2 linked regions of the Pelodiscus sinensis genome follow. The main gene of each other region encodes a partner of the protein of the gene in region 2 in a complex. Links are inferred from orthologs where the notes say so. Each region holds a gene or a part of one and is shown on either strand. Other genes may lie near its edges.

Region 1 (7,517 bases), about 12 Mb from region 2:
ATCTTAGAAGACTTAATAAATCAAGTCAGCATCAAAGCAAAACAGAACCCATATCTCCTGGTTCCCAACCCAGTGCTTCAATGATGCCTCTCTGATTACCATGGTACTGATTTTACTGAAATCTACACTTACAATGTGACCAGAAGTCAGAAGTCCTTCACAAATGTTAATTCTTAAACTATGACTCTTGCCTTTAATAGAAGCAATAAATCTGGATTTGACACACCAAGACATTTTATTGTCAGACATTTGATCACACAAGCATGAAGAACATTTTTCCTTTGAGGACTCAGTTTGAGGAATGCAGATACTTGTTTTGCTCAGCTCTGTGGCATATACTGAAATGGCATCAATGAACAACTTATGCAGTGTAGCTGTAGCCATACTGGACCCAGGATATCAGACCCAGGATATCAAAGTGAGTGAGGTAATATCTTTTATTGCTCCAACTCACCAACAGAAGTTGTCCTAATAAAAGATATTACCTCACCCACTTTGCTTCTCCAACAATCCACTCAAACATTTTACTATTGAAATCCTTTTTGGGGTCAAAGCAACCAGACCAAACCAGCAAAGCCTCTGAAAGCTCTCAAGATAACTAAACTTTAGCTACACAGGCATAGTTAAAGCAATACTAACTACTCTTGTGCATAGACAAGCATTTTCATTTAAGAGTCAACAGTATACAATCCCCCTCACATGAACACAGTTATACCAGCAGAACTATTGATGTTAGGGAAGGTAAATAAGCTATTTCAGTATAAGGAATTTCTATACTGGTATAGCTGCATCCACACTAAGGGTTACACTGGTTTAAACAGTCTGACAAAGAGCACAACAAAATAGTTATATAAGACTGTGTAGACCAGGCCTTAGAGAAGGAAACATCGCTAACCCAAGGCACACCTAGCTTTTTAATGGTTGTATTTGGAAGAGTTCTACTGAATCCATGAATTATGAAAGAGCTTGAACTTAAGCACACCTTTCTCCTACCATCTTCCTAGAAGCAGAATGTCTCCATGGCTTGTAGCTAGTGACTTTCAAGAATACATCCCAGTACACGCGGTATGGCAAACCAGACACAGATTCAACCCTTTTGCTATAATGCACTATATTACACAGTAACAGAAATATGACAGGTTTAAATTTAGACCTTCTTCTAATCAGCTTCATTTTTCAAGCCTAGTAAGTGGCTAGTTAGCAGAGTCCAGTAGTCTAAATTTTGTCATCACCTGTTTACACACACACACACACACACTTACACACACTTAGTTTTCATCCCTATTGGCTGGCCTGGAGAGGATGCCATTTGATACACACCACTCTAGTGCCATGAGTCTAGCTGCCAGCTAACCATTCACTCACAGCGAAGCCAATTCCTGTTCCCTTATGGAGATGCTACAAGGTGGGAAGAAAGGGGGTTACCTTCCTTTGGACTAAGGAAAGCAAAACATTGGAAACATGACTCATCACCCTAGATTATTTCTGTCAAACCCTAGCTAAAGATCAAGAAACAGGCAATGTCTTTTGCAGCAAGGGGAAGAGGGGGGAGACAGGTCGACAGCTCTCTCCAAGAGAGTGGCTACACAATCTCTAAATACAGTTTAAAGTAACCAAGGCAGATATGGCTTTTAAAGTTTTAAACACAGTTGCTTCTTTACCTTTTTTTAGTAGGCACAAGATTGATTTGTCTCATTGCAATGCATAAGCATTAGCCAGATCTCCTTCTAACTTTGCCCGTTGAAACTGGAGTCCACAGCAATCAGGGGAAATAAAGAAGTCTATGTTCACATGAGCCCTTCACTTTCCAGAAAGAGCAGAACTTTAAAAGCAACAGAAAATGTTCCTGTGTTAAAATTAAGGAGGAAAGCGGAAATGGCTGAGACGAGCAGGATTATCTGTGCTGCTCAACTGAAATGTTTCCCAAAAGGCTGCTTTCCCTTAGATTTAGGAGACAGGTTTGCAATTAACACATGCAGCTGAATTTCACACAGCCTCCCACAGAATGCAAATAACTTACTGAGTGCAACATTTTTAATTAAATAAAAGGCACCTACAGCCTTTCTTGGGGATGAGAAAACCCATAGTGCTAGTGAACTCAATCAGCTTCTAGAAGATGATTTTTTTTGAGAACCCTAGTCTCAGTCACTACACTGCAACAAATTAAGCATGTTATTTGAAGCAACATTACAACCAACCAATGCTTCCTGTTCTCTTTTCCACATAGCATGGTATAAGCCTGAAGCCAGAAACTTATAGCACCTGAAGGCACCAGGTTTTCTTTTTCAAGGAATCCTCCCTCCCCCCTTTCTCCACAGAGAAACCATTTAAACACACACACATCCTTACAAACACCAGATTTGCAATGTACTACAAAGCATACAATCGCCTCCCCCACCACTTTTTTTCGGTCTGCAATCTCTCAGCATTTTCCTTCACACTCTGCTACCTCCTCCCCAAACAAATCCTTCCAACTATTGCAAACAAACCTTCTACAGGAAACCTTCCCACGGACACAAACACCGTCATGCTGCAAGGCAGACTGAATTAGGTACTGTCTCGCCGCCCTTCCGTGGGAGCTTTGCCCGATCCGTTACTGAGCAGCCCCGCGCTTCAAGTAAAAACCCAGAGGCCAAGAGAGAAGAGAAAGGGACAGGTTTTGTTTTGGAAGGAGGAGCAGGAATTGCAGAGGGAAGCTGAGCCCCAGGAACAGCAGCTGCAGACAGCCCCGTGTTGCAATACCACCCTCTTTTCCTGACTTCCACCAAAGTCCAATCCGACCCAGCTACCTGGGTGGAAAGCAGCCAGGTCCCTCCCCAAAAGTTCTGCCGCCCCTTCCCCCAGGCCGAGCGCGGTACCTTCTCCCTGGGCAGCCTTGTTAAACCCTCGATCGCCCCCTCCTCCCCGCCGGGCTCGCTCCCTGCCTCTCGCACCAGGGCAGGAATCCGAGCAGGGGCTGAGCTGGGAGCTGACGTCACTCCGGTTCCAGGTACCTCCCTCCCCGCGGGGAATGGCCACAGAGGCTCGGGGAGGGGCGGGAATGGCAGCCGGCACCCTCCAGCTCATTGGGGCCGGGAGCAGTCACTCAGGGGCAGGCAGAGCATGTGTGCGTTCCAGGCGGGGAGCGCCAGTCCTGCTGGAAATCGGGACGGGGGGGGGGGGGGGCTGTGGATGCGACTTCCCTGGTGTCTCTGGGCAGGGGGCGGTGGTTTCACGAAGCGCTCAGGAAGCCAATGCTGGGCACCTTCTGCATGGGACAGTCCTGACCTCCGAGCCCAAAAGGAAAGTGTAAACAACCCCCCTCCCCGGTTACACTGCAAGTGTGATTGACACCGGGGCTGCCCCACTCTCTGGGGGTGTTCCCTACACAGACTGTTCAGAATCGACACACGCTCCAAATCAGGGCCAGCGCCTTCCCCAACTTTCAACTTCTTAGGACACGCCTCTTGCACCCCCACCGAAGAGCAACGTCTCGCAACTCCCACACAGACACACACCCAAAGATTCCTCCCTGCAACGCCTCTGTTGATACTCCCGGGATTGTTCCCAGCTAGGCTCCAGCAACCTGTGGGCACCCCGCGGAAAGCTGCCTGCAACAGAGTAGGGAGGAAAACAGGAACCCAGCGCTGCATTCTCTAAACCTCTTGCACACAAACATCTCCGGAGTTTGGCTCCCTCGTAATTAGAAAACATGCTCCAAGCATTTGGATTTCAATACAGGCTTTATCCAGAGTAACCCATACTCACTAACTCAGCACACACAGTCAACTCTGAAGCAAAATGCAGGACAATGTAGCACTTTAAAGACTAACAAGATGGTTTATTAGATGATGAGCTTTCGTGGGCCAGACCCACTTCCTCAGATCAAATAATGGAAGAAAATAGTCACAGCCATATATACCAAAGGATACAATTAAAAAAATGAACTCTGAATGAGCCAAACAGGAAGAGCATCCACAATTCCCCTCTTTTAGGGACTATCAGTAAAGTCATCGCTTTTACTATGTTTGGGATCGTCTAACAACTATGCAAACCACTACAAAGCTCCTACCTTTAAAATATTACTACTACTAAAATAAAAATAATAAAAAGCAAGCATTTAAGGATAATAGCTTGTATAGTGTCCTTCTTGTAACATGGCCTCTGGAGATGTTTATTTTGGGTCTGCACATCCTAAACTCAAAACTCAGGTCATCTGAAGAAGTGGGCTGTGCCCACAAAAGCTCATGGTACCAGCTACATGTTTTGTTAGTCTATAAAGTGCTACCAGACCATTTATTGTTTTTTAAGTTTAACTTCTGGAGATGGTGGGTACTGGCCTCTGCTATGTGATGTGATATTAATAATTTGTATTCTTGAACTGATAGTTCCTGAATGGAGCCAGAAAATAACATTAAAGTTGGCCTTTATCTTAATTACACTGAGTATTCGTTATGTAAGCAATCCCACCTCCCTCCACTCCTGTAGATCACCTTCTGCGAAGATCTAAATTTGTTCCCCAACTAGCTTCTTCTGAATCAGAAGATGCCAACTGTGGATGCCAAACATGATCTTTGTTGCACTACGTAACTTGTCCACACTTTGCCTCCGTGATTTCTATCACTCTTCCATGCAAAAAAATGAGCCATTATAGAATCATAGGACTGGAAGGGACCTTGAGAGGTCATTGAGTCCAGCCCCCCCCCGCCCTCAAGGCAGGACCAAGCTCCGTCTACACCATCCCTGACAGATGTCTATCTAACCTGTTCTTAAATATCTCCAGAGAGGGAGATTCCACCACCTCCCGTGGCAATTTATTCCAATATTTGACCACCCTGACAGTTAGGAATTTTTTCCTAATGTCCAATCTAAACCTCCCCTGCTGCACTTTAAGCCCATTACTCCTTGTCCTGTCCTCAGAAACCAAGAGGAACAAATTTTCTCCTTCCTCCTTGTGACACCCTTTTAGATATTTGAAAACCGCTATCATGTCCCCCCTTAATCTTCTTTTTTCCAAACTAAACAAGCCCAGTTCATGAAGCCTGGCTTCATAGGTCATGTTCTCTAGACCTTTAATCATTCTTGTCGCTCTTCTCTGTACCCTTTCCAATTTCTCCACATCTTTCTTGAAATGTGGCGCCCAGAACTGGACACAGTACTCCAGCTGAGGCCTAACTAGTGCAGAGTAGAGCGGCAGAATGACTTCACGAGTTTTGCTACCAACACACCTGTTGATACAACCTAGAATCATATTTGCTTTTTTTGCAACAGCATCACACTTTTGACTCATATTCAACTTGTGGTCCACTATGACCCCTAGATCCCTTTCTGCCATGCTCCTTCCTAGACAGTCGCTTCCCATCTTGTATGTATGGAACTGATTGTTCCTTCCTAAGTGGAGCACTTTGCATTTCTCTTTATTAAACCTCATCCTGTTTACCTCTGACCATTTCTCTAACTTGCTAAGGTCATTTTGAATTATGTCCCTATCCTCCAAAGAAGTCGCAACCCCACCCAGTTTGGTATCATCTGCAAACTTAATAAGCGTACTCTCTATCCCAATATCTACATCATTGATGAAGATACAGGCAGTCCCCGACTTACGTGGATCCGACTTACGTTGGATCCCTAGATACGAACGGGGTGAGGCAACTCCCGCACATGCGCAGCAGCATTCCCGGGGCTCACTCACCTGGGTCCTAGGATCCTCCTCCTCCTCGGGCCGGCTCTGACTGGGGTCCCGCAGAGCTGCCGGGCAGAGGAAAAGTGCCTCCCCACGCCCGCTGCCCCCCCACCCACCCCCCTGCCAGCAACAGGCTGCCCCCTCCCCTGAGCAACAGGCTGCCGAACAGACAAAAGCAGCCTCTCCGCTCCTCCTCCCCTCTATACATGCTGGGCTCCCTGGGCAAACAAAGACTCCACCAACACAAACAAAGTGCTGGCCTCATTGTGTTAGCAAAAAAAGGACCCTCCTCCTAGAACCCTGGGTGGTGTGTGGAAATAAAGCTATTAGCTCAAAGCATGGTGCAGAGCTGTTTGGTATTTGATGAGTTACTCCTTTAGTCCTGAGTTTGTCACAGGGACAGAAATAGATGTGAAATCTTCTGAACAGGGGAACAGACAGCAAAACAAACATTAGAGGGGAGTTAACCTTTCCCTATGCTATCCAAAACTAAAAAAAATGTTTGGCTAGAGTTTCCCCTACAATATGTACCAGTTCCGACTTACATACAAATTCAACTTAAGAACAAACCTACAGTCCCTATCTTGTACGTAACCCGGGGACTGCCTGTATTGAACAGTACGGGTCCCAAAACAGACCCTTGCAGAACTCCACTTGTTATCCCTTTCCAGCAGGATTTAGAACCGTTAACAACAACTCTCTGACTACGGTTATCCAGCCAATTATGCACCCACCTTATCGTGGCCCTATCTAAGTTATCTTTGCCTAGTTTATCAACAAGAATATCATGCGAGACCGTATCAAATGCCTTACTAAAGTCTAGGTATATGACATCCACCGCTTCTCCCTTATCCACAAGGCTCGTTATCTTATCAAAGAAAGCTATCAGATTAGTTTGGCATGACTTGTTCTTCACAAACCCATGCTGGCTATTCCCTATCACTTTATTGCCCTGGCAACCCTGTCGCATCAGCACCCCACCGTAGAGAGGCCCGTCTGGAGTTTGGAGAGCAGCACCAACTGGTGGAACCGGGTGGTCCTCGGACTATGGGATGACCAGCAATGAATCAGGAATTTCCGGATGAGAAAGCGGATCTTCATGAAGCTGTGCACCTGGCTCACCCCCCCGCTCCAGAGAGCCGCCACCTGGCTGCGGGCACCCATCCCCGTGAAGAAGAGGGTCGCCATCACGCTGTGGAAGTTGGCCACACCGGACAGCTACCACTCGGTGGCACAGCAGTTCGGGGTGGGAAGATCAACCGTCAGAGTGATCGTCGTGGAAGTAAGTCCCAGGGGGAGTGGGGTGGGGGGAGGGTGCTGCACTCCAGGCCCAGGGACAGCCAAGACTCCAGGCTGGGTCGCCCAGGGGTTTGGGCCGTCCCTCCCTTGCACAGGCCCGGTGGGGGGGGGGGGGCATGGGGCGAGGGAGGGCCCTGGTGTGTGTGTGTGTGTGTGTGAGGACACAGGGAATCAAGGGGGGGGGCCCAAGGGAGTGCACACTCACCCCTGCCGTATGTGATGTGTACCCTTGTGTTTCTCTGCACCCTTCTGCAGGTCGTCCACGCCATCAACAACGTCCTGCTCCCCAGAGTCATCCACCTGCGCGACGTGGATGATACCATGGCCGGCTTCGCTGCCCTCGGGTTCCCCAACTGCGGGGGAGGCCTGGACGCCACCTGCATCGAGCGGGCCATTTCATGAACCGCAAGGGGTACTGCTCCATTGTTCTGCAGGCCCTCGTGGATCACCGGGGCCGCTTTATGGACATTTATGGGGGCTGGTCCGGCCGAGCACACGACGCCCGCATCCTCCACAACTCTGGACTCTTTCGCAGGTTGGAGGCAGGGACCTACTT
Region 2 (7,882 bases):
TCCCACCTTGAGGCAGGATTAGATATACCTGAACCATCCCTGAGAGGTTTTTACCTAACCTTGTTCTTAAAAACTTGTATTTACAGGGATTCCACAATCTCCCTGGGTAAAATACCCTTATGGTTAGTAAGATTTTCCTAAATTTCCCTTTCTGACAACTAAACAGATTATTTCTTGTCCTACTCTTGGAGACTGTGAAGAACAATTGATCACCATTATTTTTGTAAGACTTTTATGTATTTGAAGACTATGTCTCTGCTCAGTCTTCTCTAGATTAAACAAGCCCAGTCCTTCAGCCCGTCTTCATAGCATGTTCGCTAAACTTTTTATCAACTTTGTTGCTCTCCTCTTGAGTCTATCCAATCTGTCCACATCTTTTGGAAAGCATGAAGCCTTGAAAACATGGTCACAGTACTGCAGCTGTGGCCTCACCAATGCCAGGTAGAGCAGAACAGTTACTGCTCAACTTTTACATGAATACATCTTAGAATAACATTTGCCTTCTTTTATAACAGCATCATGTTTGACTCTTACTCAATTTGTGATCTGCTATAGCTCCCAGATTTTTTTTGCAATACTACTGCAGTTTGTAGTTGTGCATTTGATTTTTTTTCCTTCCTCAGTGCATCACTTTGATATGTGTATTTATTGAATTTCATTGTTGATTTCAGATCAGTTCTCCAATTTGGTGAGGTCTTTTTGAATTCTTATTCTGTCCACAATTAGGGATGTTAATGGATAACTGGTTACTTGGGGAGCAACCGCTCCTCCCCCGCCACCTGTGTTAGGTGGAGGGTCTGCTCCAGCACCGCTAGGCCCTCACAAGGGGCTGGGAGCTGGCAGCCCTACACAGAGTTGTTTTTTCCAGCCCCCCATGGGCTGGGCACCTGCAGCCCTGCAAGGGGTTGTAAACAGCCACACTGGAGGAGCCCCAGCCCATGGCAGGGAGGCTGCTCCAGCGTGCCCCTTTTTAACCAATTAAATGGTTAAACTGAATTTTACATCCCTATCCACAGGCATGCTTACAGCCCTTCCCCGCTTGGTGTCATTTGAAAATTTTATAAACATATTCTGTACTCCATTATCCAAATAATTGATTAAAATATTGGATCGTACTAGACGTAAGACCTATTCAGATCCACATTTGATCAGTCCTCACACTTTGACATCAATTATATTATTGCTACTACTAATAATAAAAGGGATGTAAGGGGGCGGGGTCCCCAGTAACCTTGCCGGGTGATGCTTTCCTGTACCTAGTAGTCTGACTGGACCCACCAATCGCAGGTGGGGGACTGCTCCATGTGAAACAGTGTTTAATCAGTTAACTTTTTAAATGATAGTTTACATCCCTAAATAATAACTATCTCTTAATATGATTTTTTTTCATTTATTTGTATACCCATATCATCTAGAGTAGACAATATTTCCCTAGTTTGATTATAAGAATGTAATGTGTGACTGTGTCAAGTCCAGATATTGTATCTACTGCTTTCTACCTATCTACTATTCTGGTAACCCTTTCAAAGAAGGAAACTAGATTGGTTTGGAATGATTGGTTCTTGGCAAGTACATGTTGACTATTACTTAGTATTCTCTAGAATTGTCTTCTCTGGCCCCTCTTCCACCAATGTAATGTCCAATTCTTCCCAGGCCAAATGGCTCCTCGGGTGTTTAATAAAATCATATTCTTTTTATAGCTGGCAGGGATTGTCAACTTGCAGCAAGCATGCCAAAGATAGCAAGTTGGTTGAATGGTACACGGTTCAATCAGGGTGCTTTTTAGGATGCCCTGCAGTTTATTTTCCTATTTTTCTATCATATTTTGTACAGATAAAGTTTGTTTTTATCCACATTTGAGTTAACCAAAATTCCTGTTTATGTGAATGCACAACATACCCCATGCTCCTTCAGGGAATTAGAATTTTCAGTCCCAACAATGGAGAAATGGAGGGAGAGCAGCTGCAGGAGACAGGGACCTCTTTAATGTTAGGAGGAAGGGGGGTGGTAGTGGAGGAATTGATAGAGACCTGGGGGAGCAGGGAGTGACTCCCCTCCCCACCCACCCCCACAAAAAGCTTGGCTCATTCCGTCACTGCACTGCCTCATCCATGCTGGAGCCATCATGATCATGCATGCAAATGCTGACTTCATTTCCTCAGGGCACTTGGTATCTAAGAGACAAGGAAGGAAGGTATGGCCCCATATCCCTTCAAGTGGAAAGTCCAATACTTGGTGTGGTATTTTGTTGCCAAAGATCTACTTTTGTTGTGGGTTGTAATATAAATGGTGGATCAAGCATGGTAGCTGATGTGGAAGACTCAGCAGTGAAAGTTTATCCTGGCACATGAGTTTGATCTAAATGTTATGTATAGACCAGGTTTAATTCTGAAGCTTCTTAGGAATATGAGCATGAGGTAGAAATTTCACCCCATAATCATAGAATAATAGGACTGGAAGGGACCTCGAGAGGTCATCGAGTCCAGCCCCCCGCCCTCAAGGCAGGACCAAGCTCCGTCTACACCATCCCTGACAGATACACTGTTTGGATCTCTGTTGTAACTCCATCTCCTTCCTCTTCTCCCCAGATTTTGTTGATCTCAACAATGGCAAATTCTATGTAGGAGTTTGTGCATTTGTAAAAGTCCAACTCAAGGTAAATGGATGTGATTTTGTTTGCTCCATCTGCTGGTGAACTGCTAGTTGATTAAGTACCATGAATGACAGTATTACTGTGTGTGTGGAGCTGAACTGCAACACACCATAGTATTGTGTCAAACCAGACAATCCTATGGGCCCCTGGAAAGCTGAACTTACTAGAGAATACATTCCAAGCCACTTAATACATATAGTCCACAAACGAGAGATGTAGTATTTTAATCAGCTGTCTAAAAGCAAAAGTTCCAGTATTGATTCCTTCATTTTTTTTAACTCACCTCTCAGGATGGGTCATACCATGAAGACGTGGGTTATGGAGTGAGTGAGGGCCTGAAGTCCAAGGCATTGTCCCTAGAAAAGGCAAGGAAAGAAGCAGTGACAGATGGGCTAAAGAGGGCACTAAAGTAAGTGGAGAACCTGAACATTTCTTGCTCATTTTCAAAAGATGGCATAAGAATACAATACGAAATTCTCAGTCATGGCAGGCTCTCTTGTCCCTCAGGTGCTTTGGAAATGCTCTTGGGAACTGCATCCTGGACAAAGATTACCTGCGATCAGTGAATAAACTTCCTCGTCAGGTGCAGTATGTGGGACTTTGGAGAAGGGGAAAGCAGAGTAATTTAGTTTGCCAGGAACCTCCTTGTTCCTAGTTGTATACCCACATCATCTAGACAGTATTTCCCTAGTTTGATTATAAGAATGTAGTGTGTGACTGGCTCAAGTCTTAAAGTCTAGATATATTGTATCTACTGCTTTCTACCTATCCACTATGCTGGTAACTCAAAGAAGGAAACTACATCAATTTGGAATGATTGGTAGGTCACTGGTTCAATTCATGTTTTGAAAGGGATGGAAACCATGAATGTGTCTAGTGGCAATGATTCCACAATCTTCCTTGGCTGCTAGTTATTTGACTATTCTTTGTAAAATATTTTTCCCAATAGCTCATCAAAATTATACAATTCTGAAACTTAAACCCATTGTTTCTCTTTCCAGGGGTCTTGTTTACTCTCTTCTTGTCAGATTCCCATCTCATTCCAATCACTATAGTTTCTGAGCACCAGCCCATTCTGTATCTTTACTGCTAGTGGGTCCAGCTGCACCCTTGTTGGTAATAGTTTAAATAAATACTATTATAGATAGGGATGAACTAATTCCAGTGCCACATCAAAACATGTTACTTGAAATATTGTACTGTGCTATGTACAGTAGAGCTTCTTTTAAACTAGAAAATTTTCAGATAGCATCCCACAGCAACTGCCCCCAGTCCGCTTTCACTATTTGTAAACAACAGTGGGAGCTCTAGTCTAAAAGAAGTGCTGCCAGCCACTACTTTTCCCCCTGCACAGCTGTTGAAAGTTTCAGCTCTCCTCTAACAGTACTGCATTGCAGAAATCTTCAGCATACAGAGAACTGAAAATTTAGGGGCTAAGAAAAATGTGCTGAATGTAATATAAAAAACACTTCATTGGTCTCCTGTACTGACTATTCGTTATCATATTTGCTATAATGAAACCCCTCCACTTTGATATATTTGGAAGCCACCACAGAATATCTAGTATGCTACAGAAATTAGAACAGCTTGCCATAGACTTTAGTTCCAGTTTACCAGAGAGTCTTATATGCAGATGTAGAGCCCTGGGAGTGCTGACCTAAGGGAAGGATCCAGGAGGAGCAGCTATCAGTACCTGATAGATAGAGAATGCCATATTGGAATCAGGTGGGTGGGCTTGGAGGTGCTGATTTATTATCTCAGTCAGTACCAATGGTGGCTGAAGCACAGTATTGCAGCTTCCTGTGGAATTAATATGGACACTGCAAACTCCCCAGTTGTATGTGGGTGAGAGAGATCCCTCTGACACCACTTTATATTGTTCTATCTAGCTTCCCTCAATATGTGCTCAGTTAAAGGGTGGAATATATGATTCCACTCCTGCATTTGAAGGGAAGAAAATGGTCTGCCCAGCTCTAACACATGTCTGTGTACACATCTATAAATTTAAAGTGTGATTTTTTTTTTTTTTACTCCCTTACCTACCTACCTCCCTGTTGTGGGATTGTCCAGATTCTATTACTTCTATATTTAAATATTCTATTGTGTGTTGGTATAGAGGCTAGCCAATAAACATTCACTAACACTGCCAATGATAGTGGTCTGCAAACAACCACTAACTCCTTTCAGAATACAGAACCAAACCAATCCTTTAAGGACAAAAGCGGCCCAGATACTGGTTTAAGAACTGCTAGAGAGGGGGACACAAAACATGAAATATTGTTGTAAGATGCTTTGAGTGTCTGTGACTTTAGAGTTAATGGGGCGGGGAGAATTGGTCAATGAATTACAATTTTTTCCTGTATTAGCTGCCTCCTGAGTTGGATTTCACAAAAGCAAAAAGGCAAGATTTTGAGCCTGCAATAGAGAAGGCAAGATACAGTAGCTGTCTGCAGAAACATAGTACAGGGCAACCCCAGCACTGTGAGAGCGTGTCCCCACACAAACAGGGCCAGGAGACAGCTTCTTCAAGCACAACGGAACAGGAGCAGCAAAATAGCTCCAGGTGAGTGTTTAATCTGTTTAACTTTGTACTATAAATGAGCACCCCTCCCCAGTTCTGGTCACCTTGTGCTTAAAATGTACAAATTCCTCCATTTACTCCCAAAATTCCATATCACTCTAGTGACCAGAGCATATATGAGCCACGTTAAGTGGAAGGCTGGTTCTTTTAATTCAGACAATACCCAACCCTATATTTGATCCATAGCTATTATACCCCACATTCCTCCAGGAGCTTTTAGGAGGCATTCAGTCCTAAGAGCTACTTTATAAGGTGCACAGTACTGTGGCTCTGAGCCAGAGAATACAGGAGTCAGGCAGCTCCTTATCAGGCAGGAACAGAACCATGAGGTTCCAAGGCTGTAACTCTTGAGTGAGGTGGTTAGCGCTCTACTTCTGCTTGGGCACCATAGCAGGTGTCATAGTCAGTTCACATAACTGTATATGCAATATTTGCATTGGCTTGAGCTCCTCCCATTCCAGAGCCTGCAACAAGAAGTGATAAATGTTGTCTTATATGTAATTCAAAATACTCTGCTACTCGAGTTTGGGTCAGGTTTGTGTATATGGTTCAGGCACAAGAGCAGGGTTTCAGCCACAGATTTCCTGTATAAACTTGGACAGGTCCTAGTCCTGTGCTTGCTAGAAATGGTAATACTTAAGCCTCCCTGACAACCCTGAAGTTGTAAATAGATAATGCTTGTAAAGCATGTTGGGAGTTCGGGGAGCAGCTTTGGTTGGAAAGTGTGATAGAAGAACCATCTATCATAGCTGGATTTTCCCTAGCATGCTATTGGTATAAACTTCCCCCTTCCTACTGTGTAATTATAGCTGAAGTGCCATCTGACTGTGTGTTTATTTCTTGGAGCAGAAGTAGCATCTTAGCCTGTGGGAGCGATGCCACTTACCAGCGCAAGTTACGGCAGAAGCAACTTCAGCAGCAGTTCCGGGAGCAAATGGAAAAAAAACATCAGATGGCAGTAGCCAATCCCATCAGCAAACAGGGTAGGGCAGGCCACTGTTAATCTGCTAGTCTAACAACCGGGACTATATCTACATTAAACATTACAGCAGCACAGGTCTGCCACAGCAGGTGCTTTGCAGTAAGGGCTCTCATGGACCTACAGTATGCAAGTGAGAGACACCTCTCCCCTTTGCATAATTAAACTATGCCCAAGCAGGGATAGCATTGATCACAGCCACTTGTCAGTGTAATTTATGTCCATCAGGGGTGTGCTTTTTTCCTCTCTGGTTCCTGACCAACAGCCCTGACCAAGGTGCTGGAGTAGTCACAACCCACCCTTACCCGTGAGTTAGGCTGGAGTCAGGACCTACAAGGTTAAACTGTTCAGCTGCCTAATTTTACCACCACTTGTTTGACTGAAGAAAGCTTATAAAAAGAAATCTCAAGTCATACTTGTTCCCTATAGGTCACGGCTGTGGATTCAAACAAGACATGATCAAAATTGCCATTATGTTCTCTTAGGAAAGGCTTAGCCAGTGCTGCTATAGAGTACCAACTGGGAATATTGAGAAAACCAAACCTCTGCTTACAGTTCAAGAAATTTTTGGATATTTTCATTGCGCATAGTAGGCCTTACCAGATATCATTTCGTGTCTTGCCCTCCACACCCCCATTTCTAGTGAGTGGCAAGAAGTGGATGTAGGACAGTTAGTATCTTTCTGAAATTACCTGAATTCCTTCCCCCATAGGGGCATCAGGTAGTGTCTTTTGCCTTTGTGGCACTAATAGTTCTTCTTTACCTGTGCCTAGAAGCATCTCTTCAGTCACTGATGAAGCATAGCACTCCAGCAGCAGCGCACCAGGGACCAACCACTGAAGAAGAGTTCTTTGAAGGTCAGAAAAGTGGCAGCTGAATGCTGGCAGACTGTTAGCTCAAAGGCAGGATTTAGGAATGAGGGGGGAGTTGCATAGACCCAATTCTCACTTGAGCAATAGTGGCAACAATAACCTGTAGAGGGGGAAGAGAGGAGACCTGGACAGAGGTGTGAATGGATTCAGGGCCCCACCCTTCCATCAGTAGGTGTTTAAAGCACCCTACAACTAGAGGGGAACCTGCCTATAGGAACCTTTTATTGTAGCCAGTGAAGTTGAGAGATTCTGGTCTTGGTGTATATACATGTGAGCTCACATTCTTGTCAGCAAGAAGTGTCTGAGGCTGCACCTGTATGCTTTAGCCTGTACATGAAAGCCAAGTGCAGTTGCACTTTATTCAACCTTACTCTCTCTAGTAACCACACAGAATCCCTGAAGTCTTAGCTTCACTTGTGCACTATTTTTACACTTTAACTTTAGTTCCCTTTGTTCTTGTATCGACAAACTCCATTATAGTTTTACTGCTCTGGGGCCATCAAGTGAGGGCTGACACTAGGGCTACACTGCTCTGTAATGTCACAATGTTGTCTTCTTTCTGTCTCTGAATTGTTCCAGATGACCCTGAATTGTGGGACATTCCTCTGGAGACCACTGATCTTAGTGATACTGAGAGCCACAAAAGAGCAACTGTCTCAATCCAGGCTCCTACAACACCTCTTGGACACTATCACATGACAACACGCAGCAAGACTCCGCAAACAAAAAACCCTAACAAACCACATGAGAGAGCTACACAATGGCATGAGTCCCCTGGCCACAGGCCTAGCAGCCAC

The links. The genes of interacting proteins can lie anywhere in the genome.
Region 1: ERC1 (region 2) and PPFIBP1 share a complex: the UniProt entries of both Homo sapiens proteins name them as parts of the cortical microtubule stabilization complex. The link is inferred for Pelodiscus sinensis from reciprocal best matches to the Homo sapiens genes ERC1 and PPFIBP1.

The regions. Positions count from the first base shown.
Region 1 is NC_134711.1:120,150,137-120,157,653, reverse strand, and holds the start of PPFIBP1 (liprin-beta-1), read right to left. Parts: upstream 3,016-7,517; 5' UTR 2,859-3,015; exon of another isoform or gene 2,855-2,858; intron 2,794-2,854; exon of another isoform or gene 2,490-2,793; intron 2,147-2,489; exon of another isoform or gene 1,662-2,146; intron 1-1,661. UniProt on the Homo sapiens protein: May regulate the disassembly of focal adhesions. Did not bind receptor-like tyrosine phosphatases type 2A.
Region 2 is NC_134711.1:108,149,018-108,156,899, reverse strand, and holds the start of ERC1 (ELKS/Rab6-interacting/CAST family member 1), read right to left. Parts: upstream 2,944-7,882; 5' UTR 2,937-2,943; intron 2,657-2,936; coding exon of another isoform or gene 2,589-2,656; intron 1-2,588. Other genes in the region: DNA repair protein RAD52 homolog, read left to right, coding at 2,589-2,656, 2,944-3,062, 3,161-3,236, 5,020-5,216, 6,084-6,217, 6,987-7,070, 7,665-7,882. UniProt on the Homo sapiens protein: Regulatory subunit of the IKK complex. Probably recruits IkappaBalpha/NFKBIA to the complex. May be involved in the organization of the cytomatrix at the nerve terminals active zone (CAZ) which regulates neurotransmitter release.